Linked DNA regions of Pelodiscus sinensis. The protein of the gene in region 1 purifies or fractionates together with the protein of each later gene. This does not show direct contact. Links are inferred from orthologs where the notes say so. Each region holds a gene or a part of one and is shown in the gene's direction. Other genes may lie near its edges. The genes, in order: EIF4B and EIF3A.

Region 1 (15,326 bases):
TTAGTTTCCCAACATATGTCTGGATAGTTGAAGTCCCCCATCACCACCAAATCTTGGGCTTTGGATAGTTTTGTTAATTGTTTAAAAAAGGCCTCATCCACCTCTTCCACCTGGCTAGGTGGCCTGTAGTAGACTCCTAGCATGATATCACCCTCGTTTTTTACCCCTTTTAGCTTAACCCAGAGACTCTCTACACAGCTATCTCCTACGTTCATCTCCACTTCAGTCCAATATGTTGCACTCTAATTTGCATTTCCTCTTCCTTTCTGAATTCTGGTCATCTGAAGAAGTGGGCTGCGCCCACGAAAGCTCATGATACCGTCTACATGTTTTGTTAGTCTATAAAGTGCTACCAGAGCATTTGTTGTTTTTAAGTTTACCCTGTACAGACCAACTCGCTACCCCCTGAAGCTTCTTATCCTGATGTAAGCATGGTTTTCTTTGCTTTAGCTTCAATCCTATCCCATGTGGTATAAATTAGACAGAAAAGCCCACTCATAGGTGAATAAGAGTGTCCACATAAGAGGAGGTGATTGATGACAGTGCAGTATGATTGAACAGTATAATAGGAAAAACTTTCCTGTGTAGACAAAGCCATGGCTAGTTACAGAGCACCAGTGAACAGCTGGAAATAAACATGTTCCTTGCTCCTCTCAGTCAGCCCTCACCACACTGTGCCCATAAACGGCCAAGTACCCCAGAGGTGGCAGCTCTGCAGTGTCCTGGAGATGTGGAGCATGATCCGCCTGTGGTCTTTCAGGAGGGCTCAGCACTCTGAACACACTGCACCTCACATGCCACCCTAATCTCTCTGTCGTCCGGTCCCTCCCGGAATTCTCCCCACCCACACTCTCTGCCCTCCCGGGAACTCTCCCCACCCCCACTTTCTGCCCCTTGGGAACTCTCCCCACCCCCACTCTCTGTCCCCTTCCTCCGGGAACTCTCCCCACCCCCACTCTCTGTCCCCTTCCTCCGGGAACTCTCCCCACCCCCACTCTCTGTCCCCTTCCTCCGGGAACTCTCCCCAGCCCCACTCTCTGCCCCCCCCCGGGGAACTCTCCCCAGCCCCACTCTCTGCCCTCCCGGGGAACTCTCCCCAGCCCCACTCTCTGCCCCCCCGGGGAACTCTCCCCAGCCCCACTCTCTGCCCTCCCGGGAACTCTCCCCAACTCCACTCTCTGCCTCCCACCCCCCGCTGGGAACTCTCCACCCCTTGGGAACTCTCCCCACCCCCACTCTCTGTCCCCTTCCTCCGGGAACTCTCCCCAGCCCCACTCTCTGCCCCCTCGGGGAACTGTCCCCAGCCCCACTCTCTGCCCTCGGGGAACTCTCCCCACCCCCACTCTCTGTCCCCTTCCTCCGGGAACTCTCCCCAGCCCCACTCTCTGCCCCCTCGGGGAACTCTCCCCACCCCCACTCTCTGTCCCCTTCCTCCGGGAACTCTCCCCAGCCCCACTCTCTGCCCCCTCGGGGAACTCTCCCCAGCCCCACTCTCTGCCCTCCCGGGGAACTCTCCCCAGCCCCACTCTCTGCCCCCCCGGGGAACTCTCCCCAGCCCCACTCTCTGCCCTCCCGGGAACTCTCCCCAACTCCACTCTCTGCCTCCCACCCCCCGCTGGGAACTCTCCGCACCCCCACTCTCTGTCCCCTTCCTCCAGGAACTCTCCCCAGCCCCACTCTCTGCCCCCCCGGGGAACTCTCCCCACCCCCACTCTCTGCCCCTTGGGAACTCTCCCCAGCCCCACTCTCTGCCCCCCCCCGGGAACTCCCCCCACCCCCACTCTCTGCCCTCCCGGGAACTCTCCCCAGCCCCACTCTCTGCCCCCCCCCGGGAACTCTCCCCAGCCCCACTCTCTGCCCCCCTCCTCCGGGAACTCCCCCCACCCCCACTCTCTGCCCCCCCCCGGGAACTCTCCCCAACCCCACTCTCTGCCCCTTGGGAACTCTCCCCAGCCCCACTCTCTGCCCCCTCCTCCGGGAACTCCCCCCACCCCCACTCTCTGCCCCCCCCGGGAACTCTCCCCAACCCCACTCTCTGCCCCCCCCGGGAACTCTCCCCACTCCCCCCCATTCACTACTGCCCCGATAGCCGAGGGCGGGGCTCTAGGGACGGGGGCATGGTTGCCCGGGGGGCCGAATACTACAGACAGCCCCCCAAGCCGGGCAATTCCAGCCCCTTCTTGGCATCAGCAAATCGAGAGCGTGCGGCGATGCTCAGCGAAGAATACTTCTCCCGGCCGCGACCCGCGGCTTTAACCGCAGCGCCTGGAACCGCAGAAACAACCAGGCTACCTCCTCCGGGGCCCCGCCCGTTCGGAAGGAGGGCTTTGGCCTCGCTATAGTCACGTGACGGCCCCATCCGGGTCCTTTGCCTTCTCTCCCTCTGCCCAACATGGCGGCTTCAGGTGAGTGGTGCTCGGCGGCCTGCGGGCCCTTGAAGCCTGAGCCGGGCCTGGATCCCTTCTCCGGCCCTGGAGCTCCACCCGCTTCCTCGGCCCGGGCCGCCCCTCGCCCTTTCTGGCCCGGGGAAGACGGGGGGAGCACGCGCCTGTCTCCTCCCATGAGGGATCGCGCGCGCGCGCGCGCCACCCACCTCTCCCCTCAGGTTTCTCCAGCGCGCGCAGCGTCCCCCCAGCCATTCGAGGCAGGAGCGCGCGCCGTGGCTCGGAACGTTCCATCCCGCAACGCGCGCGCCATCCTGCCGTGAGTGGGGTGGGGTGGGAGAGTTGCGGGGGGGTGGCTCGCGCCGGCGGTGATTGACGGGAAAGGGAGGGAGGAGGGGAGCCAGATGGAACCTTCAACCGCGCGTCTGCGCAAGCGCGGGGATTGGCTGGGGGTGGGAGCGGACTCGGAGAGAGGAAGAAGGAGCCTGAGTGGCACCCACGTGGGGGCGCGTGGAACAGGGGTCTCCGGAGTAAGAGGCCTGTTTCCTCAGCGCGCCACGTGGGAGTCCCCTCTGCTGCGTCATTGCCCGAACGGGCGGGCTGTCCCTTATTCCCCCGTATATCTGCGGCCTGCGCCCAGGGCTGAGTGTCGTCATCCCTGCCCCCGAGGATGCCGTAGGGAGGGAGAGGCAGCCCTGCCTGCGGGAGGCATGGTTTGTATCTCTGCTCTGCCCCTCTCCCGGGAGCTGGCACCCCCCAAGAACACGTCTTTGGCGCCCTCCCGTTACAGCACACTTCCTTTTGCTCTGTACAGTTCTCCTTCTGCCTGCCCTCAGCAGGAATTGCTTGCTGTCCCAGCTCTCTTGCCCACCTTCCCTTGAGTAGCCGGGATGCAGTGCCCTTCCACTGCAGGAAATGGGGGGTTGGGCCCTGCTGTACTGCCTCTTCGCTCCAGGAAAATGGGATTGAAATTGGCTCCTTTATCTCAGAAGTACATGGCTCCCCTCCCTTTCCAGGTTTGCAGTCTGCTTTGTATTTCTTGGAGCGTAAGGACAGGATGGAATCCCTGAAAGGTTGAGGAAGGCATTCCAGCAATTTTTTCCCCTTCAGAATAAGATGTGAGAGTTGATCTAAACTGTAAGGGCTTTCTCTGCTTTTGAGATTGAATCACCTCTCTGGATGATAAACAGTCTCTGCCTTAGCTGAATTTCTGTTACTCTCTTACTCTGGGCTGTGACTTTTATATGCCTTTGAAATGCGCCAGACTGCACCATCATCTGCAGGTGTTATCCAAAAAATAACCTGGAAGATTGCATACCCTTCACTCTCCTAATAGGGCTCTTCTTTCTAACCATATGAACCCAACACCCCAGGCACTTTATTGCAAGTGATCCCTTTGAAGCAACTCTTCAGCAAAGACTGTTCCTTCTTAAAAACCTGGAGCTAAAGGCCTATTTGTTTGGGTATGGAAAGCTCCTTTATTTAAGTCTTGTCATGTCTTGAGCAATGAAATTCCCATTAATTTTTGTGCAGAATAGCTTTACTCGGTTGGACTCTTCCTGGCACCCAGCTAGTATTGCTTCATTAAGAACTGTAGCATCTGTAGCTATTGTGTTTAGGGTTGTACTGAAGCTTTTAAAATAAACTCTGACTTCTGTCTCTTAGCTCGTTGTTTACACTTCTGATTACAAAAAGGAGTCCTGTGACACCTTAACTTAAAAGGTTTATTTGGGCATAAGCTTTCGTGGGCAAAGACAGACTTCATCAGATGCATGCTGTAAGACTCCTCATTGTTTTTGTAGATACAGACTAGTGTGGCTACACCTGTCATACTTCTGATAACAGTAACAGCAAAAGTCCTAGCTGTATCACAGGTCATTGGTGCTAATTCCTGTGCAGATCTGTGGAGAAAAGGAGGTAAAATCTGTGTTCTGCATTTTTGCATAAGTTGCTACAGTGTTTGACATTTAGAAAAGGCCAAAGCATCACTATAACTGTTCAGGCAGTTTTCTTAACTCACTTTCGCTCTGGATTGAGTACTTTTTCACCTCTTTCTAAGTTAAGTACATATAATCACATGTACCCCATATGAATTGCAGTGACTGCTCTTGCTGTCCAACTGAAATGTCAAGGGATATGCATCAGGACAGCAATTAAGGAAAACTGAAAACTTTTGAATTTGCAAATGCCATTTTGAGTTCCATCAGAAGAACTGTATGGTCCCATATTTCACAGCAGAATGTTTGAGGCAGACATACCTGCCTTTTCCCTATGGCTACGTCTACACTGGCCCCTTTTCCGGAAGGGGCATGTTAATTTCAGCGATCGCAATAGGGAAATCCGCGGGGGATTTAAATATCCCCCGCGGCATTTAAATAAAAATGTCCGCCGCTTTTTTCCGGCTTTTAGAAAAGCTGGAAAAGAGCGTCTACACTGGCCCCGATCCTCCGGAAAAAGCGCCCTTTTCCGGAGGATCTTATTCCTACTTCAAAGTAGGAATAAGATCCTCTGGAAAAGGGCGCTTTTTCCGGAGGATCGGGGCCAGTGTAGACGCTCTTTTCCGGCCTTTCCCTATTGCGATCGCTGAAATTAACATGCCCCTTCCGGAAAAGGGGCCAGTGTAGACGTAGCCTCCGTGTTTGCACAAGCATGTCTGTAGCTGGCTAGAACCTGAGCCCATGATGTGGTGATGCAGCCCAAAAACAGAATAATTTTTTGGAGTTTAAGGATAAGGGACAGTGGTTGATGAAACACAGATTTCTTTTAGCTACATTATATACAATACAGTATACTAATTCCTTAGTTTCACACTTGCCTGGGTAACTTTTAATGGGATAAGTTTAAGAAAGACTACCATTTCATCATATCAAAAGTTAAGCAATTAGGTTTTATGCCTAGGCTGATCAGATTTCCCAATGGTTTTACAAAGCTGCATTAATAAAAGTTAATGCTCTGTACTTTAAAATGTAGACTTTGTAGCAACTGTCTGTACATATCTGAATGGCTGATAATATTTCAATAAGCTACATTTGAGTCTAGTAGTGGCATTTGATTTTTGTTTGTATATAGCAGCTGGGGAAACTCCAATTCCAGTTGTAGATGTTAAGAAAATGTTCTTGAAGGGCTTGGCACTCCCAGGTATAACTGGTAGCTTCTGCTCATATTAAGGAGGCAGCTGGTGCTGGCTGTTGGTAATTCATAAATGGCAAGAAAGAGCTTCTTTTGTCCAACTGGCTTTCCCTACATTGTTCTGTCAGCCATATGAGGTTTCCACAGGTTCAGTGATGCATAAGCAGCACTGTGTTCAACTACAGAAGTTGCTTCATACTGTTAGCTCCTGCCTGTGACTTGTCAGCCATTTGATGAAATTGAGCCAACAGCCAGCCTGCAGGTTTTATGAATGCAGCGTCTGCTCTAGTTAGCAGTGTTTTTGCTGTCATTTAGTAACCAATCATTGACAGCAAGTAAATATTCTTGGGTGGTGGGAATGTACATGAAACACACCTTCAGCCACCTTCTTTCTGAACAACACTTGCCAGCAGGAGGGCGCTTAAATGACATTTTTCAAGGCAGTGACTGCAGTGTGTTGCTGATGATGATCTGCTAGTTCTTTGTGTGATGCCATGAGATTACCCCTGGCAAACTGAACTTCAACCCTCATAAAGGAGTAATCCTATTTTAATTCTTAACCCTTGTACATTCCAATGTCATAGCAATTAGTTCTTAAAGGTTAGCTAGATTCTCTGATTGTCCCCATTTGCAAGAACTCTTCCAACCTCTGCTTGCTGTGCTCAGCAGTAGCATTCCCATTCATGATAAAAACATGAATCCTGAGCATTTTGCAGAAAGGGGAGTCTGTGGAGTCTTCTCAATTTCTTCTACATCAGGAGGGTCCCCTTATACATCATGAGACCTTTACTCCTGAGGTTTTCTGGAGGGTTTCAAAGCTGCACAAGTAGCATATAGATTTTGTATCACCACCTTTAAAATAATTACTTTTTGTAAACTGAGTGGTTTATACAGTGTCTGAACTTCTAAAGCTCCCCTAGGGCAGACAATTCTCATTTTGATTTAATTCTCTGTGGTGTTGTTTTAATCACTGATGAAGCCATAGTTGACGTAGTGCTTAGAAGTCTTGTTACAGTACTGAATTAAATGTGTGACAAGAATTGAAAAGGTAGAGCAGAAGGCAACCAGAATGAAAAGAGATTTGAAAAGGTAAGTTTTCAGTAAAATGGAATTCTGGCCGTATCACTTGAGTAACCAGAGAAGAAAGAAGCAATAATCTGTCTTTGTACTCAAATAATTCCAGCAAATTGTATGGACTCTCCACTAAGCATTTTTCTGACACATTTTAGGTAAAGGGCATTATTCCTTAAATAGCTGTTCTAGGTAGAATGCAAAATGGGGTGTCCCTGTGATCAAATGTTAGCTACAAGTCTTGTTCTTGTTCAGTATAGGCTGTGTAGATTCCTCTGACTTCTCTGGAAGATTGAGGGTATGTCTACGCTAGAAATGCCAGAGTGGTGCAGCTGCAATGGCATAGAGCAGATTCTACTGCAACAGAAAAAACCTATCCATTGCAGTTGTAAATCCACCTGTTCCTGAAGGAAGAATTCCTCTGCCAGCCTAGTGGTATCTACACCTGGACTGAGGCTGACTAAATTACATCGCACAAGGCCTGAAATTTCATAGCCCTGAGTGATGTAGTTAAGCCAATCTAACTTGTAGTATTGACCAGCCCTGAGTGCTATTGAGGGGCTCTGGAAAAGACAGTATGGCTTAGTGGGGCTCAGCTGGGACTTTGAGTATGAGTTTCATTCATGGCTGTGACCTTGGGGAAGTTGCTTTCTCTATCAGTTTCCTCACCTGTAAAATTGGAATGATGATACTGACTTCCTTTATAAAGAGCTTTGAGATCTACTGATAGAAAGCATGGGGTAAGCTCTCTGCCAGGAGGCTAGTAATTACAGAACAAACTTTATGGATGGTGGAGCAAAATGGGGAATAGAAGATCTATCATCTTTGTTATAGTCCTCGCATCTCAAAATTCTTCCTGACTCTAGGAACTGAGTCTGACAGCCCTACAGTCTTATTAACTGGAGCTCCTTGGAACTCAACCTGAAGGATTTTTGTTGCTTTCTGTTCCCATCTTGCTTGAGGTCAAAACTGCTTCAAGAATTTTTTTTCTCCTCTTCCTAGCCATGAAGCCAAATCTGTGATTTCACAGTTGCTTCCATGGCAACAGAATGAGGTAGTTAATAATAATAAAAAAGGACCATGGGGCTTTGCTCCAGGATTTAGACTCTAGGGTGGGCAGGGGGTAGGAAAGTGAGAAGGACAGCAGTTCAAACAAATGCCATGTATCTTTGTTCAGGATCTGCCCAGTTACAATGCAGGCAGCAGAAGAAAGTAAGTAAACTTATTTGAAGCTGCTGCTTCATACTGAGCTGCCTGGGAGGGTGTGAGAAGTGCCTTGTTGTCAAACTTAATTTCTGAAGAAAATATGCTGCTGTGAGCAGTGTAGTCTTTTAATGTTGTGAGAAGCTCTCAATGAGCTACTGCTCGAGGAAGGGGAGAAAACTTAGGTAGTGCTGAATTCCTTTAGTATGCCATTAGGAGAAGCTGAGCAGATTACAGAGAAATAGATTTCTTGGGAGCTACTGGAGGAGAAAGTCATGCCAAGACCTATTCCCATTAGAAAATACCAAGCAATCTTCAACCCTGGGCAGAACAGACAGAAGGAGATGGGAGCAGAATGAAGGGGAAGGAATAGAAACAGAGCAAGTACCCCCCACCCCCTTTGTGTGATGCTGATTGCAATAGCCTACCCTGGATCTTGTGAAATGCCATTGATATCCCTGTGGCCCTAACTTTATGGTCACATTACCCTCTCACCAATGTTACACCATTCCAACTCAATGACATTCCTTCCTAACACTTGACTGAAGGAGTAATCTAGCCCACTTAGTACAGATACCTTGTGTGCCTGCCTGTGAAGATGGGGCCCAATGGCATCCTTGTACCCCAGGCTCTGTAAGGCATGCAGAAGGGTCACTAAAGGCTGAAGATCAAAGACAGAACATCCTCAGGGAGCTAATAGAAACCAAAGGAGAGCAGCCATGGATTCTGCAGTAACAGTACTTCTGTCATCCCACATTGCTAAGTTTATTAATGCTGAAAATCTCTTCTGCCTACTGTGTAGATTTAAGCCAGCCATGATATGGAAACTCTATTAAAGGGCCATTCTTCAAGATGCTGAATGTACACTGAACATGGGTAATCTTGATCATGTGACATCTTTACTAACTCCATGAAAGGCATTGGTGATTTGGAAAGCTTTGTATCAGCGTAAGAAGTACTATAGTAATACCTACTGTGACCACCTAAGGGAGTTCTAAATTGACTGGTGGGGTGAGAGATGTCTAATGGTCTGGGCAGTAGAGTGCCCTGTTGTCATGTGGCAGTAATCGTTGTGACTTGCCCATGTTCAGAGTCTGCATTCTTTTGCACAGTTGGCAGCATGGTGGATGGGAGGCTGTGAAATTAATTGCTGCCAGGTTATTGGTCTGTAGGAGCTGAACTGTTGCTATCTTTCTTGTGATGGCAGCAGTTAACTGCAGACTAGTCAACTTTCCAATCTTGTGCTCTCTCCCCCCTTCCCCCCCCAGATGGTTAGAGAAGCAGCTGATAAGGTCTCTTTTGGTTGCATGTGATTATACTGTTCTGACAGCCCCACAGCAAGAAGTCTTCCAGTTTGTTTACTGAAGTTTAAACTAAAGGGAAGGTTTCTAGGAATGTCAAATTAGATTCAGAGCAAGCAAAAAAAAAATTACTGGACAAAAAGAATTGGCCTTGACTGTTGCGTTCTTAACTGTTCTGTACCTCTCCTGGATGTTGCTAGAAGATGCTTAGAATGAAGATCCTGTGGAGAGTATAGCTTAACATTTCTGTCATCAAGTCTGGGCTGTGTCTTTTCTGTAGGTATGCTTTGTTTCCCAGGGTATTTAGGTGTCCTATAGTACACAATGGCCCAGGTGTTGCAGCAGAGGGCTAAAATACAGGGGTGACCCTTCTTGCTATGCTACCGTCTGGATTGAGACCAATGGGGAATATAGGAATACAGAGTAAATCAGGTATGCTAAAGAGTGGGAAATAGGGTTGGGTGACAGGGGAAGGTATTATTAGACATTCAGTGTACAGCCAGAACGACTAGTGAGTCGTTCCCTGCTTGTTCTAAAGAGAATGCTAGACAAGAGCTGGCTTACTTGCAGTTGCGGAACAGATTTGAAAGCAAGTAAGATTTGTTCATGAAATGCATTTATTGAAAGGTACTGGTTGTCACAATACAGAGATCACTTCGTTCCTCTACGAGAATGTTGATAAGTGATCTGCATGAAATTCAGCAACATTTCTACAACCAGTACTAAAGATAAGGGCATACATTTTCAAAAGCCATCAATAGCTTTGGATGTTGAGCTTGAGATATTTGGAGGGGCCTGACTTTCAAAGATGTTTGGCATCCTTCTGCTAAAAATTGGGAACCTGTAAAATGTCTCAAGTTCAGCCCTCAAAATCACTAGGTGTTTCTGAAAACTGAGGCTAAAAGTTTATTAGAATTCCAGGTTTTAAAATGTCCAGTTCCGGGTAACTGTCTTCCATGGTTGGTCTTGGACCTAAAGTGGTATTTTGAAAGTTTAAGGAAATTGCTTACTAGTTTAGAGTCATATGCTGGTGAAAATGTTTTGGTTTTTTGCAACCACAGAAAAAATCTTTCCAGGTGGGTTAATATGTGAATGTGCGTATGGGTCAGTAAGGAATTATATCCTTACTTTTCAGATGTATAGCACAAATTTTCACTACATGTGTGTTGCTGTGTTAATTACCAACTAATACAAACTTGATCTCAGTATTACCGGTGTGTGGTTGTATGGTGATGTTTTATTGTACGTTTCCATAGTTCTGTGCATGTGGAAGTACCTGATTAGTGTTAGTCTCTTCTTCTTAATGTAAACAAAATAGAAGTTGTAGAGAGTGTACAGTTTTAAAACACAAGAAATGTAATCTGGACATTTTGCGGTTGACATCAAAGGCATTTGTCAACCTCCCAGGTATGCCTCCTGGGATGAGGCATACCTCGGAGGTCGACAAATGCCTTTGATGTCAACCGCGGAGTGTCCAGACTACCGCGCTGAGCCAACAAACAGCTGATCGGCTCAGTGCGGCTGCCATGTAAATTTAAATGAAGCGGCGATTATTTAAATCGCTGCTTCATTTTCCTATGCTGGGTAGTCTAATCTACATGCCTCTGTCGCCAGAGGCATGTAGTCTAGACGTACCCTAGGAGGGTGGTGAAGCACTGGAATGGGTTACCTAGGGAAGTAGTGGAGTCTCTACACCCTAGAGGTATTTAAGTCTCGGCTTGACAAAGCCCTGGCTGGGTTGATTTAGTTGGGATTGGTCCTGCCTAGAGTAGGGGGCTGGACTTGATGACCTTCTGAGGTCTCTTCCAGCTCTATGGTTCTATGATCTTAGCATTTTTAAATGCATTTCTCCTCACAGCCTCTGTGAGGCAAGGCATTGCTGTTGCCATGTTTTACAGAGGGTGTGAATCTCTTCATCTGGTCCCATATCAGCAGTGCGGTTATGTCACTGTAGCACAGTGGTGCTCAACTTTTTTTGATTCATGACCCCCAGCACTGGGAATATTTTGTTGCGGCCCCTTTCATTGAAAATGCTGGTCCACTCTCCTGCCACTCCCCCCCCCCCCCCCCCCCCCCCCCCCCCGCCACTGTGCGTATGTTGGGCACCGAGCCGGGAGAACAAAATGGTGGCTGGCCTAGCGCTGCAGCCCACCAGGAAGACATCTGCCCCCCACGGGTTGCACACCGCTGTTATAGTAGACTCTCCAAGAGGCAGTAGTACATTGACAGAAAGAAATACTTTTGCCTGTTCCTCCTGATCATGTAGGATGCCTGCCTCCATAGGCATTATATGAAGGGCAGTAACTCTTCCATTCCCTGCATTTATTGGAATTAATTGTGCCCCAGTGTTACTTATCTGTGTCTCCTTCACCTCTTTAGCAGCTAAGAAGAAGAACAAGAAGGGGAAAACCCTTACTCTGACGGACTTTCTGGCAGAAGATGGTGGCAGTGGTGGTGGAAGCACCTTTATTCCGAAACCAGTCAGCTGGGCCGACGAGACAGATGACCTGGAAGGAGATGGTAATTTGCTGCTAGCATTCCATCTCTTGTTGGATAATCTGTACCCTGTTGTGTTATGTTCCCAACAACTGTCTGGGTAGTTGAAGTCTCCCATCACCAAGTCCTGTGCTTTGAATGTTTTTGTTAGGTTTTGTTTTTTTAATGAAAAGCTTCATCTACTTCCTCTTCCCGATTAGGTAGTCTGTAGTAGACCCTACCATGCCATCACTCTTGGGTTTTTTCCCTTTTTATCCTTACCCAGAGATTTTCAACAGGTCTCTCACCGATTTCCATCTCAAACTTAGTTTAAATGTATACATTTTAAATATGTAAGGCAACACCTCCTTTTTTTCCTTTACTGTCCTTCCTGAGCAAGCTGTACCCCTCTATACTAATATTCCAGTCATGTGTATTAGCCCACCAAGTCTGCGATGCCAATGTGTTATAAGTGTGTTTATTTACTAGCATTATGAGTTCTTCCTGCTTATTCCCCACACTTCTTGAATTAGTATACAGACATCTAAGATTTAATTTTTTTTCCCCTCCTAGTTCTGTCTCTTATCCTTGCTATTACAGCTCATGCTGCCCCCAATTTCTGACCCTTCTCCAAGGTCTCCTATTAGCTTTGGTCACCTGGTTTCCCGTCAAACCTAGTTTAAAGCCATCCTGACTAGGTTAGCCAGTGTGTATCAAAATAAGCTCTTACCCTTCTTCGATAGGTGCACCCTATCTTTGTTTAGCAGTCCTTCTTTTGTTATGTGCTATAGAATGTTTGGGAGAAAGGTGCCCTACAATAGACAACAGAGTTGAGTTGTGGGATTCTTTATATTACTGAACACTTTTCTTGACCATCTTTAATGCCTCTATTTTACAACTAAGGGAGCTGCAAGTAAATTCAAACAATTGCAATGAAGAGGGGATGTGAGAAGCTCTGGGGGAACTTGTACATGGTCAAGACATGCTGAACAAAATTTCTCTTCTAGTTTCCACCACTTGGCATAGTAACGATGATGATGTGTATCGAGCCCCACCAATTGACCGGTCCATCCTACCCACCGCACCTCGGGCTGCTCGGGAACCCAATATAGACAGAAGCCGTCTCCCAAAGTCACCCCCCTACACTGCCTTTCTGGGAAACTTGCCGTATGATGTAACAGAGGAGTCCATCAAGGACTTCTTCAGAGGACTCAATGTGAGTATCTGTTGCGCATAATTTTAAGCTTTGGTGACATGGGGGCCACATAGCAGCAGTTGGCAGGCTGAATGTAACTTACGGCTTGTGGGATTCTCTCATCTGTTAAGCTCTCAGCCCTCCTGAAGAAGCTCATGATATTGTGCCAATTCTGTGACTGAAATGACTTGTCCCACATCACCCAAAAAGTGAATGGAGCTGGGAGTAAAGCCTATGATTTTCCTTGTAGGATCCCACTTCTTCATGGTTTGTGCCCTTGGTGCTCAGTCCTGTTACATTCTGAGGCCGTCTATATGTAAAATCCAGCTCAAGGAGATACACCCATGGTTGAGGTTGCATGCTAAAAAAATAGTGGAGATGTATGTAGCAGGAAAAGCTACCCACCCTAAGTGTATGCTTGTCTATCAGACTTTACTCTGAGGTGCCTAGCCCTTCCCGCTGCTGCTGCGTAGCTAACAAACTTGATCAGAGCTAATGTGCTTGCATCTCCCTGACCTGGGAATTGCACTTCCAGTTCAAAGGATAGACATACCCAGTGCCTTTTTGGTGATGGTACTGCCCGGTACTCAGTACCAGCACCTCCGTACGCAGTACCAGTACCTCCAGTCAGAACTTAACAACTTTTCCACTGGAGTACCAGCACTCTTTTTTAAACCAAAAAAAGCACTGGGACCCACTAAAGAGAATAAAGGTGTTCATTGCAAGCCATTCGTGGCTAAGAGCAGTTGAGACCACTTGTTCTAGCTTCTGCAAGCTGACTTCTAACAAGGCAAATATCTTTTTTTGAAGGTTTATTGCCTGAGCCCAGCATTACTATCTCCTGGCATTCTTATAGACTGTTTTGGGTTGTGTGTAGTCTGGTACTCAGAGTTCTCTTATTCCAGGGCTACTCAACACACAGGCCACATGTGGCCCGCGGTGCAGTTTGGGTTCACATGGGGTTTAACATACGGCCTGCGGGTGGGATCCTTTGAACATGGCCTCCACTGGGAACAGGTTCCATAATGGCGTGGTGTTTCCCAGGTAGGGTGAGCATTGAAAGACGCAAGTGGAAGGACTGGTTGAAACAGATGAGTACAAGGTGTCGGTGTTTCTAGCCCCATGGAGGAGCTTTTGGGAGTGCCGGGGTATTGTGGGAAGTGCTGGCTGCTTAGCTTTTTGGGCAGAACCTGAGAGGTGCTGACTGGCTCTCACTGGTTACATTTTGGCCCAGCGTGTGGCTGGGCAGCCCTGCTTCCCTTCTTCACGGAGCAACGGACTCTTGTGTGGAGATGTCAGCCCTGCTGGGAATCCAGAATGGGGATCCCGGGCACCTGTCCTTTTTTGCCTCTTGTGTCCGGCCTGACTTGCCCAGCTCCCCACCTGCCGCAGGTTTGGAGTGCTCTGGCTTGGAAACTTTTTTTTTTTTAACAGTAAAATCACTCCAAGAAACACACAGCCTGAAACTTCAAGCTGAACACCCAAAAAATTGGTATACAATTTTTTTTTAATAAGGCGCATTTAAAACGGCAGCAAAGAAGAGATGCTTGTTGGATGAACACAGGGTTTTCAACCCTGTTTGGGAGATGAAAAACCAATGTGCCATCTTTGTCAAAAGATTATCGCTGTGTTAAAACAAACCTGCAACAATGCCATGAATCTTGTCACCCTGAGTTCAAAGACTTGTATCTACCTGACAGCAATTTAAGAGAAACTAAGATACATTCCGTACTGGAAGTTTACTGTGGTCAACAAGATGTGTTCTGTTTGCCCTATAAAAACAGCAATGCTGTTACAGCCTCCTTCAAAATGGATTGGCATATAGCTAAATCGAAAAGACCTTTTACTGAAGGTGAATTGATGAAGCAGTGCTTCTTGGACTGAAGTGAATCACTTTTTGCAGAGTTAAAAACAGAGGATATAGTTAAATATCAAAACTGCAAGTGTCTGATTCAACTATAGTAAGACTAGCTGAAAGCATTTCAGGCAATCTGTTTTTGAAAGCACTGAGTATCTCAGTCTAGCAGTGGACGAATCTACTGATCATTCAGACATCTCAGCTCATAATCTGGGTGCGTTTTTTCAATTGCAAAAACTGTCGAAGAAATTCTTACTTTGCTACCTTTGATGGGTCAAACTAGGAGAGAGAACATTTATTTTGCGCTGCTGGCATTTTTTTGAAGGACCAGGAAATGTATTGATTCAAAGAATTTTATTTTGGTAACAACTGTTGGCGCTCCCTCCATGGTTGGAAAAGAGAAGGGGCTAATTTCTTTGCTGAAGAAAAATCCACAGTTTCTAGATTTCTTTTCATACCATTGCATTCTGCACCAGTTATGCAGCAAACTGAAGAGAGGATTTCTCAAGAGCACAATGGATAGTGTCTCAAAAATCATCAACTTCGTTGCTGCAAGTGCCTTGAAACAGACAATTTCGAGCTTTGGTTGTGGAGTACAAAACACAGTATAGTGACTTGCCAATGCTTGCAGAAGTTAGATGACTGAGTCGAGGCAAAGAGTTAGATCTGTTTATGGATCTACTGCCTGCTGTATGAGTGTTTTTTGGAGG
Region 2 (15,549 bases), on another chromosome or scaffold:
TGCCTCTCTCTTTTACCTAATATCAGCTTATTATCCTTTCACAATTCAAAGCTTCCTATATAACTTCTTTCTTCTACATTGACTGGCCCTGGAGTAACTCTCCTGTTCTCAAATAACAGACCATCTATTAAAACACCCCTAAAATAAAAATCCATGATTCACCCAACTTTCTCCTTTTCATCCTTCTCCATTTCTTTAATAATTTTCTCCCCACAATGACCTATGTCAGTTACTTTTTGGGTCTAACTTCAAATTGTAAGCAGGGAAAAAATATATGTAGGATTTACATATAAATAATAAGAGTTTTCCTTATTGTTACTGTAATTTATGACTGCTCCACAGAATATATCTTTAATGCTTCAGGAACCAAATTCACCCGAAAGTATAAACTGATGCAATCCAACTGATATCAAAGGCAATTGCATCCACTTACTCAAGGGCTGCATATGTCCCCCTTTCTTTTTATCCAGCCACTTCCTTTTTTGCTGTTCATAGAAAGGCCAAATGGGGAGTGTATATTACACTTGTTTTGCATACACACAGAATACCAATCTTCTTCTTACTATATAGTTTAGAAATGTCTGGCTGGCTGGCTGTCCACCTGCGAGTGTTTGTTCAAGAAGTCCCTAAATAGTATGAGCTAAGACCAGCAAACTTGGTATGCAGCTTCCTCTTATCAAAATTTAAAGCAAGGTCAGGGTTTGGTTGTGCCAGGATAATGGGATGTGCATGGAATTCGACTGCTTTAGATCTCTTTATTGGTGATTTAGTCCCACCTTTTCCAAAACTGAAGAATCTTGAACTTCCACTGTTGTGATATAGAACCACGATCTTCTATACTGGCCAAATACAAAGGTGTGAAGCAATTTATTTTCATCTGTAAGGCAGCATTTTCTCAGCAACAGATCCCTCATTTCAGCTGTTGTGGAAGGATAACACCATACCCAGAGAGTATCTCCATTGGTGTCTTTTTCTATGGTGGAAAGATGTTCACTGTGAGAATGCCAAACAGCAGCAAGGAAGTAAATTGATTGGTTAATCAGATCCGTTTACTGGAATCGGCTTAACATCCCATTTTTATACTAACTACAGCACTACCCACTCATGCCTCAACTGTTAAAAGTTGTCTGTGAGTGCTTCTTTTATTAACTTTTATTTTCACATATTGTTGTAAAAGTCTGCTCTTGGCTAACTCCTGGCATGCAAAGTCCTAGGCAGGTGAGGCTTTTGAGTATGTAGAAAAGTAAGAATTTTTGTTTTCAAAGGTGCTATTCTCAGTTATGCAGCTCCTGCACACTTACTTAACTGACTCCAATGGAATTATTTAATTACTTGAAAATAAGCGTGAACAAAGTATTTTCAGAATCCTAACTTGCATAATTTAAAATCTCCATCATTCAAACTGTCACAATGCTTTGAAGTGGTAAAGCATCATTTAAGTATTAATTGTTCATTGTTAAACTAACAGACTTGTTTGGACTACATTATCAATATAGTTCTTAATTAACAATACTTTCACTTTGTATGCCAATAAAATTTTATAGTTATATGGCATCTATATGCTACAAAAGGGGCTATATTATAAATACTCAGACAGACTTCATTCCCAGATTCCATACTAACCACTAGGGATGTTAGAATTTAATCGATTAACCAGTTAAGCAATAAGATGATGCTTATCAGTTAATGTTATTGGTTAAACTCTGCCCTGCTCCCGGATGGCTTCACAGTGGCAGCAAAACCTCCTCCCCAGGAGCGGAGCCAGCAGCTGAGCTGTTTGCTCCTGCTGGTCCCACTCCGTGGGAGATGGCTGGTCACCCTGCTCTGGGGAAGGCTTTGCAATATGAAGCTTATTTAAGCTTTATACTACAGAGCCCACAGCACATGTAACCGCTAAGATTTTTAGCGGTTACATGGTTCCCTTATTAAACAACTTTTAACATCCCTACTAACCACATGCCAAATGTTGCCTTCAGATACCCCCCGCATATTCCCAATGGCTTGTATCAGAGGGCGGGCTCTGGCTTTTTACAGGAATCTTTTCCTCGCTAAGTGCTTTAAGATAAACTGACATAAATAATGAAAACAAGCAACACTTGGTCATTTATATGATTCTTTCCCACTAGTTAATCAATCCTAACTACACCCCAGAAAGGCAAAGATATGTTGTTAGTCCCATTTTTATCAGTGGCTAGTTAAATTTTGTGGGCAGTTTTGGAGTTTACATCTCAGTATAGAATCATATATTTGGCAGGAAAGGACCTCAAAAAGTCATCAAGTCCAGCCCCCTGAGCTGTGGTAGGGCCAACTGAACTTAGACAATATCTGATAGATGTTTGTACAACTTGTTTTTAAAAGTGTCCTATGATGGGGACTCAATGACTTTCCTTGGAAGCCTATTACAGGAATTAACTACCCTTATAGACAGAATGATTTTCTTAATATCTAACCTAAATCTCCCTTGCTCCATATTAAGACCATTATGTCTTGTCCTACCTTTAGTGAACATGGAGAACAATTGATCAGTGTGTCTTTTATAATAGCCCTTAACATATTGGAAGACTGTTATCAGGTTGTCTATCAGTTTTTGCTCAAGACTACACCTCTTTAGTTTTTCCAACTCTTCTTCATCAGTCAGATTTTCTACATCTTTCATTATGTGTTGCTCTCCTCTGGACTTTTTCCATTTTGTCCACATCCTACCTAAATTGTGCTGCCCAGAAATGGGCACAGTACTCCACTGTTAAGTAGACAAGGACAATTATCTCCTGTATCTATTGTACACCACTTCTATTAATACATCTCAGAATCATATTAGCTTTTTTTCCAGCTATGTCATGAGTCATTGATGACTCATATTGAGTTTGTGGTCCACTAGAACTCCCAGAGTCTTTTCAGCAGCATTACCACCTATGCTAGGGGCGGGCAAATTACGAACCATGGGCTGTATCAAACCCCTCAGTTTTTTACTCCAGCTTTTGGGCACCAGGGCTGGAAGCTTGCTTGCCCTACTCTACTCATGTCTTAGCTGTGAACACATCCTGGAGACAGGGGCAGCCAGGGGTGTTGCACGCTGCCCCTGCCCCTGCCCCAAACTCCAGCTCTTCAGCTCCCATTGGCTGGAAACTACAGCCAATGGGAGCTACTAGGGTGGTACCTATGGATAAGGCAGTGGAATGGGAGTGGGAATAGGCTGCTGCTTCCTGGAGCTGCTTGAAGTAGACAACTCCCAAAGCCTGCACCCCTGAGTCCCTCTTGTACCCCAAGGCCCTCATCTTCAGCCCCAGAGACCTCATCCTCCCATTGAATCCCAATCTCATCCCAGCCCAGCCCTAATTCCCCTTCTGCATCTTAACCCCCCGTTCCAGCCCAAAGCCCCCTCCCGCACCTTGAACTTCTCATTTCTGGCCCCCCTTCCAGAGTCTGCTCCAACTAGAGCCCTAACCCAATCCCACACCCCAACTCCCAATTATGTGAGCATTCATGACCCACCATACAATTTCTGTACTGAGATAAGGCCCTCAGGCAAAAAAAAATTGCCCACCCCAAACTAGATGGTTTGCTGTTGTGTATTTGATTTTTTTCCTAAGTGAACTATTTTGAACTTGTCTTTATTTAATTTCATCCTGTTGGAACTAAGACCAAATTTTCAAAGTCACTTTGAATTTAAAACCTGTCCTCCAAAGTGCTTGCAACCCCTCCCAGCTTGGTGTCATCTGCAATAAGCCTACTCTCCACTCCATTAGCCAAGTCATCAAATGTAAACATCCCATAGGACCCAGAACGAAACCCTGTGGGGACCCCCCTTCCGACAGTCTCTCAATTTATCAGCAAGCCACTGATTACCCTTTGAGTGTGATCTTTCAACCACTTGAGCACTTACAGCCATTTCATCTAGACATTTCCCCAATTTGCTTATGAGAACTTCATACAGAACTGTGTCAAAAGCCATGCCAAAGATAGGGAAAGTTGGCAAAAGAGGAACAGTTCCCCTTCCCCCCGCGGGTTGGTTACAGCCCCCGCACGTGAAGGAGAAGGGGTAGGGGTGCACCTCAAAGAGTGGGGACTGTTTGACAGGTGCTGCCCTCACCGCCCTGGGCACTGAGGGCCACTGAACCACACGGCGAAGTCTGAATACGCTGGAAACCACTTTCAAGGCAGGGGGTGGGGCAGCACGTCTGCTCCCACTGGCACAAGGGCCCCACCCTCCATTGAAGGGGCAGGAGCCTGGCAAGAAGCTGGAGTCCGGGCTCTGCAAGGGGCGAAGGGGGCGGGGGGGTCGCCTTACCGATCAGCCCCACGCCTAGCAGCTGCTGAATCTCCGGCTCTGCCATCTTCCCGCCGTCCGGCTCCACTCGCCTCCCTGCCCGGCCAGAGCGCACCAGGCGCGGCCCGGCCTTCTCCCCCGCTTCCCGGATCCCCTGCCGCTGCCGCCGCCGCCGCCTGAGCGCCCAGGCCCGGCCCCGCCTCACTCCGGCTCCGCCCGCTGCCTCGGCCCCGCCTTCGGCGCTGGGCCCGGCCCCGCTGTTTCCCCGCCTCCCAGGCCCACATAGGACGCGGGCTCGGCCTCTCAGCTGCCCTGGGAGACCAGTGAGGCGGCAGGCGCCGGGCTTGCCGCAGCAGCAAGCCGAGCCGGGCTTCGCCCCGCTCCTCGGGCCCCTCCGGCGGGCCTGGCTTCCCCCCAACCCGGTCTCGCTCTGGGCGGTCTGGTCTCCCCACCCCGCGTCGTTTTCCTGGCGCTCCTCCCTTCATTCGTGATAGAAATGTAGCCGTGTTAGTCTGGTGTAGCTGAAACAAAATACAGGACAATGTAGCACTTGAAAGACTAACACGATGGTTTATTAGATGATGAGCTTTCGTGGGCCAGACCCACTATTTGATCTGAGGTAGTGAAGTGGGTCTGGCCCACGAAAGCTCATCATCTAATAAACCATCTTGTTAGGCTTTCAAGTGCTACATAGTCCTGGATTTTGTTTCTCAGTTCATTCGGCCTCGCCCCTGACTCCCTCTGCCCTGACTCCCTCTGCGTGGCCTCACCACCCCTAGATCTTTTGGATGGCTCCCCCTTTCCTGCTTACGCCTCTGGGGGTCTCTCCCCTGTGTGATTTCCCCCCTATGGCTCACTGAATGATTGATTTTTTTGGTTTGATGGCTGAAGTGAACAATCTGAATAAATAAATGAAATCGGTTATTTTCCAAGTGAAACATTTTTTCCCACCAGTTGCCAAAATGCAGAACTGAAAGCATTTTAGGCAGGCTGACTGCAACTTTTCGCATGTCCTTCTGAAACAGTGTTTTAAAACAAAACAGTGAGGTTTGAAGCAAAATGTTGAAATAAAATGTTGGCCCGACAGGACATTTGCAAAATGAAATGATTCATTTAAAAGCAAAATGTCAAAATGGTTGATTTAAAAAATGTCAAATGAACTTTTTTCTTTTCTTAATAATAATTCTTAACATTGTTCAAAACTACATATTTCAACTAATTTACTGTATGATCAAAAAGTTTGCCCAGTTCTATTGCACACCCTGAGCTGCACCAGAACTCCACTTATGTTTAATGGTGAACTGTCAACGTGTTTTGATGTTTACTTAGGGTGGGTTTCTTTCCTCAGTTACTCTTCTGATGTGTGTGCATGTGTGGGGGGCAGCATTTCACATTCTTAAAGCCTTCTTCTCCATGACTAAGTGAATGTCCATCTCATTACCTTTCCGATCTATTTTCAAGTAAAAGTTAAAAACTATCTTTTTTACTTTTGACTGTCCTGAATTTTTCTCTTTTTCTGTTTGTTTTAACTTTGTAACTATGTGTATTATTTAACCCTGTGAATCATTGCTGGGTATAGTTATATGCAAACTGTTATACAGAATACAATTACATTGCTTAGAAGTCTTACTTATTATCAATTACTTTTATTACAGTTACATCCAAAGGCTACAAACAGAATCTGGGTCAGGAGTATTTGGCATTATACAAACACATACAATGATCCTGCAAAGTCTGCATGCAATTAAGCACATGGATAAATGTAGGATTGGGGCCTACCAGTTTTCTTCTGTTTTGAGTACCTCTTCACTAGATTGTGTGGAAAGCATAGTAAAACTCTCATAAAAGTAAAAGTAAAAAGATTGATCTTGTTTACCTCAGAAAGGGCACGTGTAAGAGAGAGCACGACAAAAGTATATAAAATAATGAAAGGAAGTAGATTGGGAATCAATGTTTTCCCTTTTTCATACTTCAGGAACAAGGGGACATTCAGTGAAATTAAAAGCTGGTAAATTCAAAACTGATTAAATAGTTTTTTACATGATATGTAATTAGACTGAAGAACTCAACCTGCAGGAAGCTGTTATAAAAATTCAGAGCAGGTTTGGATATGAATAAGAATATCTGAAGTTATAATTAATTATAACAAAAATGGAAGGAAAATTAAACTTGGAGCTTCAAGGTTTATGTCAGTCTCTAACCATAGAGGATAAGGTAGAAGCCTATCCCACACCTGTCTATTTTGGGGTTCTTACACCTTCCACTGACCTACCTACTACTGACCATTGCCAGAGATAAGATACTGGACTACATGAAATGCAGAATGACAATTCTTATGTTTTATCTGATTCTTTCTTGATAGTGTGGGTACGAGGTGGAGAAAGGGAAAGAAAATATTTCTAGTACAGTCACAATGCTTATCAGAAACATTCCATTCCACACCCAGCCTGCTCTTCTTGCTATTAACAGAAACAAGTATTTATTTCTGGTAAAATAACAATTGGAGTGAGTGCAAGGTGCCTCTGGGCTCTCACCCTATTATTAAACCACCATTTGAAATATATTATTCAGGTTGCATTGTAATTGTTTTGAGACTTTATATGTGTTTTTGTGGCTGCACAATATTGAAACAATAAGAAAACATAAGAAACCAACAATTATCAATAAAGTAAAAATTCCATTGAAATATAACAAAACAATAATAAATTGTCTCATTGCCACTGTAAATTGCCAGATTTCAGACCCAAGTCTTCCCTTTACTATATGTTCTATATAGTTCTGTAAAATCACATGTGCTCATGTTCAGGGATGCTAGTGCTGGAAGTAGGATTGTGAGCAACTAGTCAACTATCTGATAAGCAAAATGGACTGTAAGGTGGATAGAAAACTGGCTAAATTGTTGGGCCCAACAGGAAGTGATCAACAGCTCAATGTCTGGTTGGTGGTCAGTTTCAAGTGGCGTGCCCCAAGGATTGGTTCTAGGGCTGGTTTTGTTCAACATCTTTATCAATAACCTGGATGAGGGGATGGATAACACCCTTGGCAAGTTTGCAGATGACACTAAGCTAGGGGGAAGAGGTAGATATGTTACAGGGTAGAGATAGGGTCCAGAGTGACCTAGACAGATTAGGGGATTGGGCCAAAAGAAATCAGATGAGGTTCAACAAGGACAAGTGCAGAGTTGCACGCTTGGGACAGAAGAATCCCAAGCACTGTTACAGGGTGGGGGCAAAGTGGCTTAGCAGCAGTGCCGCACAAAAGGACCTGGGGATAACAGTGGATGGGAAGCTGAATACGAGTCAACAGTGTGCCCTTGTAGCCAAGAAGTCTAATTGCATAGGACACTAAACTACAAGAAGCTCTGGGAGACAGACCCATAGTCTCCTATAGACAACCACCTAACCTCAAGATGATTCTTACCAACAACCACAGGACATACCACACTAATACCAACCCTGATACTTTCCCTTGCAACAAACCCCGCTGCCAGCTTTGTCCACATATTCACTCTGCTGACACCATTATTGGGCCTAACCAAGTGAGTTATAAGATCAAGAATACATATTCCTGCGCCTCCAGAAATATAATCTATGCTATCATGTGCTGAAAGTGTCCGTCTGCTATGTACATTGGACAAACGTCTCAGACACTTCGCCAAAGAATCAATGCCCACAAAACAGACATTAGACAGGATCACAAAGAAAAAACAGTTGCTTGTCATTTCAACAAGAAAGGACACTGTCTGAATGACCTGCTAACCTGCATCCTACTTCAGAAGACATTCAAATCTGCACTTGAAAGGGAATCCTCTGAACTGGCATTCATGCTAAAATTCGACACTCTCCACAGAGGAATTAACAAAGACATCTTACCCATTACAAAGATAGCTTCCCCAATTATCACCTCTTAAACTATTAACTCACAGACATCTTCCTTTCCCCACCTCTAATATCATTAACTCACTGGCATTCACCTTCCTTCCCCCCCCCCCCACATCTCCCTTCTGTTCTGTAATGTGATTTGTCCTTTTCATGTGTGTTCACTTTTTTTTTTAAATTGTATCCTTTGGTATATATGGTTGTGACTATTTTCTTCCATTATTTGATCTGAGGAAGTGGGTCTGGCCCACGAAAGCTCATCATCTAATAAACCATCTTGTTAGTTTTTAAAGTGCTACATAGTCCTGTATTTTGTTTCAGCTACACCAGACTAACACGGCTACATTTCTATCACTAATTGCATATTAGGGTGCATTAGGAAGAGTATTTCCAGCAGATCTAGAGAAGTGATTATTCACTTTTATTCGGCACTGGTGAGGCCACATCTAAAGTATTGCATTCCGTTCTGGGCTGCCCACTATAGAAAGGATGTGGATGCATTGGAGAGGGTCTAGCAGAGGGCAACCAAAATAATTAGGGGTCTGGAGCACAGGACCCATGAGGAGAGGCTAAGGGATTTGGGCTTGTTTAGTTGGCAGAAAAGAGTGAGTGGGGATTTGCTAGCAGCCTTCAACTTCCTGAAGGGAGGCTTCAGAGAGGATGTTCTCAGTAGTGACAGATGGCAGAGCAAGAAGCAATTGTCTCAAGTTACAGTGGGGAGGTCTAGGTTGGATATTAGGAAAAACTCTCTCACTAGAAGGATGGTGAAGCACTGGATTGGGTCACTTAATATGGTGGAATCTCCATCTCTAGAGATTTTTAAGTCCCAGCTTGACAAAGCTCTGGCTGAATGGTTTAGTTAGGGTTGGTCCTGCTTTGGACCAGATGACCTGAGGTCTCTTCCAGCCCCAGGAGTCTATGGTAAGGTGCTCTTTACATGTGCACTGAATTATTCCTTTAGGAAAGGTCCTGCAGCACCTTTAGTGCCTGCAACACACCCTCTCCATCACCCAGCCAGGCTTGTCCCTTACAGGGGTCACAGGTCGCGCATTGCTACCATGGGGACAGAGGATTCGAACCGACACCTGCCGAAGCTCTTACTGCCTGGCGCTAACCCCTCCACCACGGGCTACTAGGCGAATGCAGCGCTGCATGCCGGGACGGATCGCTACACCCCAGCCTCCCGCTTCCCCCTCCCTCTCGGGGAAGGAGGGGTTTCCGCTTCTGGACACGTCGGTGCGCGTGGGTCACGTGGCGCGCTCCCTTTCCGGCCCAGCAGGCTGCCTGTCTGGGCGCACGCAGCCGCCCGCCGCCGCCCCGTGAGGAGACGCCGCTGCCCCCGCCGCCATCATGCCGGTGTATTTCCAGCGGCCCGAGAATGCCCTGAAGCGGGCGAACGGTGAGTGCGGGCGGGACCCGCGCCCGCCCCGCTCCCCTGCCTGGCGCCGGGTGGCGAAGGGCCGGGCCTAGGCCCAGCCGCGGCCCGGCGCAGGGACCATCGCCCGGGCAGGCCGCGGCAGGACCCGTCCCAGGCGCGGAGGATCCGGGGGCGGGAAGGGGGGGGGGCGTTTTCAGCATTTCCCCGTCTTGGGCCTCGCTCCCGGCAGCCGCGGCAGTCGCCGCCTCAGCGGGGCCATGTGGCGCGGGCGGGACGAGCGTGACAATGAGCCCTCGCGCCTGCCCGGCGCTGCCCGCGGCCGATTTGCAGCGGAGCCGCCTCGGGCCCGCAGCTGCCCGGGTTTTGTGCAGCGCGGAGCAGGCTGCGCCGGCCCTCAGCCCGATCCCGTGTAAACGCGGCCTCTCACGCGGCGGCATTGCACGGACTGTCCCCCACTGCGGCTGCCTCTGCTGAAGCGAAGGGAAGTTGGCAGCTATTGTCCAGCACTCTGCGTGGCACCAGGCGGAAGGCAGGTCAAGGGCACCCCTTCCCCCCTCTATTTTTCTGTGTTGAAGCAGCCTCTTGAACCATGAATCCGCAATCAGACTGTGTTGTACTGTGTGCTCCGCGGGCAGGCGCGCAGCCCTCAATCAAATGTCATTAGGGTGTGACAAAACGCTGCCAGATGGATGAAATAAACCAATGGGATGAGGCTTCAATGAAATGGGCAAGGTGCTGTACATCACTCTGACCTCTGCCTAGCCAGTTGATAAACTGAAGTGTAGGACAAAGTGTAGGACACTTCATTTGCATGCACTTGTCCTGAGGCATCTGTCATGATATTTTTAATCTTGATGCAGAGTGAACAGAGCTTTTTTTATTAAAGGTCTTGTCTGAGAGACATCTTCACAGTACATTCTAGAATTCTCTCGATATTTTTGGCTGAATCAGGCCTGCTACAATTTGAGATGTTTATGCAGTCATCTACTTTCCTCATAGTGTTCTTTGCAGGTCCCATGTTTAACAGCCCACCCCTAGTTAACTGATCTTATTTTATAGACAGTAAAATGTCAGTTTTTTATTTAATGTATAAATAATATCCTAGGACAAATGCAGACTAGGGATGTGAACCAGTAGTTGACTGTCTGATAAACACATGCTTATAGGATAGTCAGCACAGTAATAGACTAGTCATTCTTCCCCCTTGCTGTCTCTATCAGAAAGAGGAAGCAAGGGGGAGAAATATGGGGGACAGCTGAGGAGTCCCCAAGCTGCACGTGGTGTTTCAAAGCAGCAGCAATACGTGGAGCCCAGGATCAGCTGGGGACTCCCCTGCTGACCCTGGGCTCCACACAGTGCTACCGCTTTCAAATGCTGCGGGAAGCATGGAGCCAGTGGGGGACTGCCCCACTGGTTCCGTGCTCCCTCCAGCACCTTTGCGTTTAAAGTGTAGCAACAGCTCTGGGACCGCTTCTACACTTCAGAGGCGGAGGCACCCATATTGACTAATCAAATATGCAATTTGCATCGACTATTGGATTACTCAATTAATTGAAATTTAACATTCCTAATGCGCACAGGGTTTTAAAGCAAATATCACTAAGGACTGCTGCTGAAGTATCCCTTACCAGCTTCCAAGAGTAAAGCCTGACTGGCTGTGGGTATCAACAAACTCCTGCCAAATTGAATATGCAGACTTAACATTTTTTATGTTCAGTGTAACCTGTTTTAAATAGCCAGCAAAACTATCTAACAGAGATGATGTCTGTCTAAGGCTCTGATAATACTAGATGCGCTGTGTGTGAAAACAGCACAAAGTTTTATTGGATGGCATGTGGGTTCGATGTGCCACACTAGTTTGTAATTTGAAGACGGTCCTGAGTACAGATTTCTCTGTCAACTTAATAATGAAGGTTGGAATTGTCAAAAGCCCCTAATGGAGTAGGACACCTGATTCTTAGCCTTTTCGGATGGGATTTTCAAAGAAGGCTATCTTCCCTCCAAAACAATGATTATACAGTAGTCTTTAAGAGTGTGTCTAGACTATAGGGTTTTGTTGACAAAAGTGGACTTTTTTGACAAAACTAAACCTGCGTCTACACTACCGCTGAGTTCTGTCGACATAACGTCAGCAGAACTCAGCAGTTTTGTTGACGCTGGTAAACCTCATTTTACGAGGAATAACGCCTTTTGTCGATGGAGTTCTGTCGACAGAAGATGTTATTGCATCTACACCGTCCTTTGCGTCTACACTGCCATGTCGACAAAGCAGCGTGCTTTGTCAACAGAACTGAATGTAGTCTAGACGCTCTTTGTTGACAGAAGCTATTTACAAAAGCCTGTAGTCTAGACGTACCCTGAATTACATCGGTCTGACAAACTACCCATGTTCTGTATTTCCTACTCTCAGCATACGCAGGTAGGTCAGCCTTCGTCATTCACCTGATGACAGAGTGCATAAGCACCTCATAAGATTTTGAAAGCACATCACAAATATTAATTAAACTTAACAATTTTCGTTGTTTTGATTTTTATGGTACTTCACACAAATTAAATGATACTTAATTTAAGATTTAAATCAATATTTATAGGATTGTCATGGTGAAATAAGCCGAATAAATGATCTTTGTAACTCCATGGTATGGGGGAAAAGAAGATCTGATGTTTGTATTTTGTATGCAATGTATTGAAAAGAGGTGGTTGCATTTTATATTTGGTTCCATTTCTGAATGAGCAATACATATAGCCTTTCATAGATAATGTTCCAGTCATCTGATCTTGCAGAAACAAAGGCACAGATAATTGTAACGATCTATGTAAAAAAAGGATAGTTTTCCTGTTTAGTAACAGATGGGGTAAAAGTCACACATGGCCACTGCCATTCATTTGTTTTTTCCTGTCCACTTGCACAGTGAAAACTCTGTCCAGGCACTCACATCTTAGTTACTGAAACATCCTTTGCTTTAATTTTAACAAATACAGTCTCACCTCATTCAGAACGCTGTGCAAATATAATTTTCCTAGCCTGTTTCTTAGACCATATCACTCTATTTGAATCCCTCTACTGGTATCCCTTATGAAATGTAAGCTGCTTCACTTCATTTTCAAAATCTTTCAAAACTTATGCAGGCTCTACATATTGTGTCTCATGCACTAGCAAAATGACAACTCCCACTTCTGATTCATCAGTGATGTCAGATACCATCACCGACTTTTAAATATTCAAATAGTTACCTTTGTGCTTTCTCTCATGCTGCCCCATATGCTTTTGAACAGCTTTCTGTACACACCCTCATAGCTATTCTATTCTTCTTCAGATCTCTCCTTAAAACTCTTCTTTGTCATAGTGCCTACAAAAATTTGACCACGGTTAGACCACTGGTGTATCAAGATGTGGGATGTGAAATCTAGTGACGTGAAAGAATAGTCAACTATACAATTAACTGTCAACCCTAGGTTAATTGTTTAATCTAGTCAACTACTTGCATCCCCTTTACTATGCTGCCTCTGGGAGGAGGGGAGGAAGGGAAGCAGGAGCTAATGCTGGAGGGATCTGACTTAAAAGCCAGTTTCCCGCTAGCACTAGCTCCACAGTGCTGCCTGTTTCCCTCTCCCCACCAACTGCTGCCTTTATCAGAGACAGCAGTACAGTGAGGGGCTTAGGGGAAGCTGCCACAAAACAGCCCCTGCCTGCAGTGGGCCCAGGCTCACCACAGACAGGCTGGTGCTCAGCAGCAGCCCCAGTCTGCAGGAGGTCCAAGCTCCCCTCTGGAGCAGCCTCTGTCCATGGAGAGCTTAGACTTCCTGTGAACAGGGGCTGCTGCCACCCTGCTCTGTATCAGAGGCAACAGTGCAAAGTGGCAGGATGCTGCCCAGGAGTGGGGCTGGAGCACATTGTCTGCTAGCCCTGGGAATATAGAATAGTCGACTAACCGCTAAGAATTCATGTGGTTAGTTGACCATTCTACTACCCGTGATCTAACATCCCTAGTAAAATCCTATTTAATCAGTTAACCGGTTAAACGTTAGACTTAACCGATTAAGCAGGATCCAGGCCAAGGACCACTCCAGCCCAGCTGGCATTGGTTCCAGCCCACAGGGCACTGCTGGCCATGGCCCCAGCCTGTTGGGCCTTATCTGTCCACCTGTTTTGTTTTACATGATGATTCTAAATTCTTTTGGGAAGGGGTTGTCTTTTTTATTTACACAGTGTCTTTCGCAGTGAACTCATGGCCTGTGACGGGATCCCAGACACTGTGGCAATACAAATATTTAATAATAATCGGAGAACTGATAAATGGCCAAAGATTTACTATAGTTTCTGTGTTGCATATAGTGGACATGCTCCCTCAGTGAAGCGTGTTGCCCAGCTTTTAAAAACAGAAGAATGGCCATTCTGGGTCAAACCAATGGTCTAGCCCAGTGTCTTTTCTTCTTATAGAGGGCAATGCCAGAATCTTCAGAAAGAATTAATAGAACAGGCAGTCATTGATTGATCTATCCTTGCCCCACACATTTACCTAATTCTTAATTGAACTAGGCATATATGTGAGTAGTTGACTACAGGATAAGCGTAGGCTTATCAGGTAGTTGAGATGACTACTTGCATTCCTCCCCACACCTTGCTGCCTCTATATCAGAAGGAGGGGGGAGCAAGAGCTGGTACTGAGGGGAGCCAGCTTAAAAACCGGTTCCCGCCAGCGCTGTCTCCGCTGTGCCGCCTCCCCCTTTTTTCAGAGGCAGCAGCATGTGGGGAGTGGGGAAAGGAACAGAGGAGGCTGCCATGAAGCAGCCTCTGCCCACGATGGGCCTAGGCTCCATTCATGGTGGCTGGGGCTGGCTGCAGCTGGAGCAGCCCTGACCATAGGGCCTTCCATAGTGAGAGCCCCTGCAGACACTGGCTACTGGACCTGGCGTGAATTGAGACTGAGAAAGCCTGGCTCAGTCGCACCTCGTGCTGAGTCCAGGAGCTGGACCTGCTGTAACTCTGCAGTTTAAATGTAGTATGAGCCAAGCTGCCTGCCCGTCTGGTTCTTATGACATTTAAACTGCAGAACCGCAGTGGGGGGTATCTCCTGAAGGCTTCCTCTCTTATTGACTAATTGTGTAGTTGCTAGAAATTCTATCGACTACACATTTTTCTATTTACTCACTTCCTAACATCCCTAAATTAAACACAAGTATACTTTTGCTGTTCACAGCGTCCCTGGCAAAGAATTCCACAGATTAAGTGGTGTATGAAGAAATACTTGCTTATGTTTGTTTTAAATCTGCTGCCCATTAATTCACTTGAGTGATTTCTGCTTCTTTTTTATTTAAAATAGTAAATACTCACTTTTTCCACACCATTTATCATTTTGTAGATTTCTGTCATATCCTCTTTGAGTTTTTTCCAAGTTAAAAAGTCTGTTCTTTTTAATCTCTTCTCATTTGGAAGCTGTTCCTTATGGGTGAGGCTCACCACTTCTGGTTAACTTTTGGGGGCTGGAGCAGCTCCTTGCCCTCCTTGGGGCTAGTCCAGCCGGAGCAGCCCCTGTCTGAGGCGGGTGGGAGGGAGGCTCCAGTCCAGCCTTTAAAAGGCTGGTGCACAGCAGGGGGACCCTGCACTAGTCAAGAATCAGCCATCCCAGTTTATACTGGGTCCCTCCTGCTGTGCTTTAGCCTTTAAAATGTATTAAGAGCCAACAGACTCTTAATACATTTAAAAGGCTGGTGCGCAGTGGGGCAACCTGGTTTGAGCTAGGAGTCAGCTGTTCTGGCTCGTGCCATGTCCCCCTGCTGCGCTTCTGGGACTGGGTGCAAGCCGGGAATCAGCTGATTCCCGGCTTGTGCCCGATCCCCACTTCCTTCCCTGGGCCTGCAGAGACAGTGCTGGGGAGAACTGGCTTTTAAGCCAGCTTCCCCCAGCACTGGCTCCTGTTCCCTCTCTTGCTGTTTCTGATAGAGGCAGCAAGGGTGGGGGAGAGTGACTAATCAAGGACTAGTCCATTATAAGCTTTTGCTTATCTGATAGTCAACTAGACACT

The links.
Region 2: the proteins of EIF4B (region 1) and EIF3A purify together in Homo sapiens (co-immunoprecipitation; 3 studies listed by BioGRID and IntAct, with this or other methods). This does not show direct contact. The link is inferred for Pelodiscus sinensis from reciprocal best matches to the Homo sapiens genes EIF4B and EIF3A.

Annotation. Positions count from the first base shown.
Region 1 is NW_027465874.1:248,383-263,708, reverse strand, and holds the start of EIF4B (eukaryotic translation initiation factor 4B), read left to right. Parts: upstream 1-7,655; 5' UTR 7,656-7,777; coding exon 7,778-7,796; intron 7,797-11,467; coding exon 11,468-11,608; intron 11,609-12,570; coding exon 12,571-12,779; intron 12,780-15,326. UniProt on the Homo sapiens protein: Required for the binding of mRNA to ribosomes. Functions in close association with EIF4-F and EIF4-A. Binds near the 5'-terminal cap of mRNA in presence of EIF-4F and ATP.
Region 2 is NC_134718.1:59,140,803-59,156,351, forward strand, and holds the start of EIF3A (eukaryotic translation initiation factor 3 subunit A), read left to right. Parts: upstream 1-9,385; 5' UTR 9,386-9,495; coding exon 9,496-9,544; intron 9,545-15,549. Other genes in the region: DENND10 (DENN domain-containing protein 10), read right to left, coding at 777-973, 4,289-4,334. UniProt on the Homo sapiens protein: RNA-binding component of the eukaryotic translation initiation factor 3 (eIF-3) complex, which is required for several steps in the initiation of protein synthesis.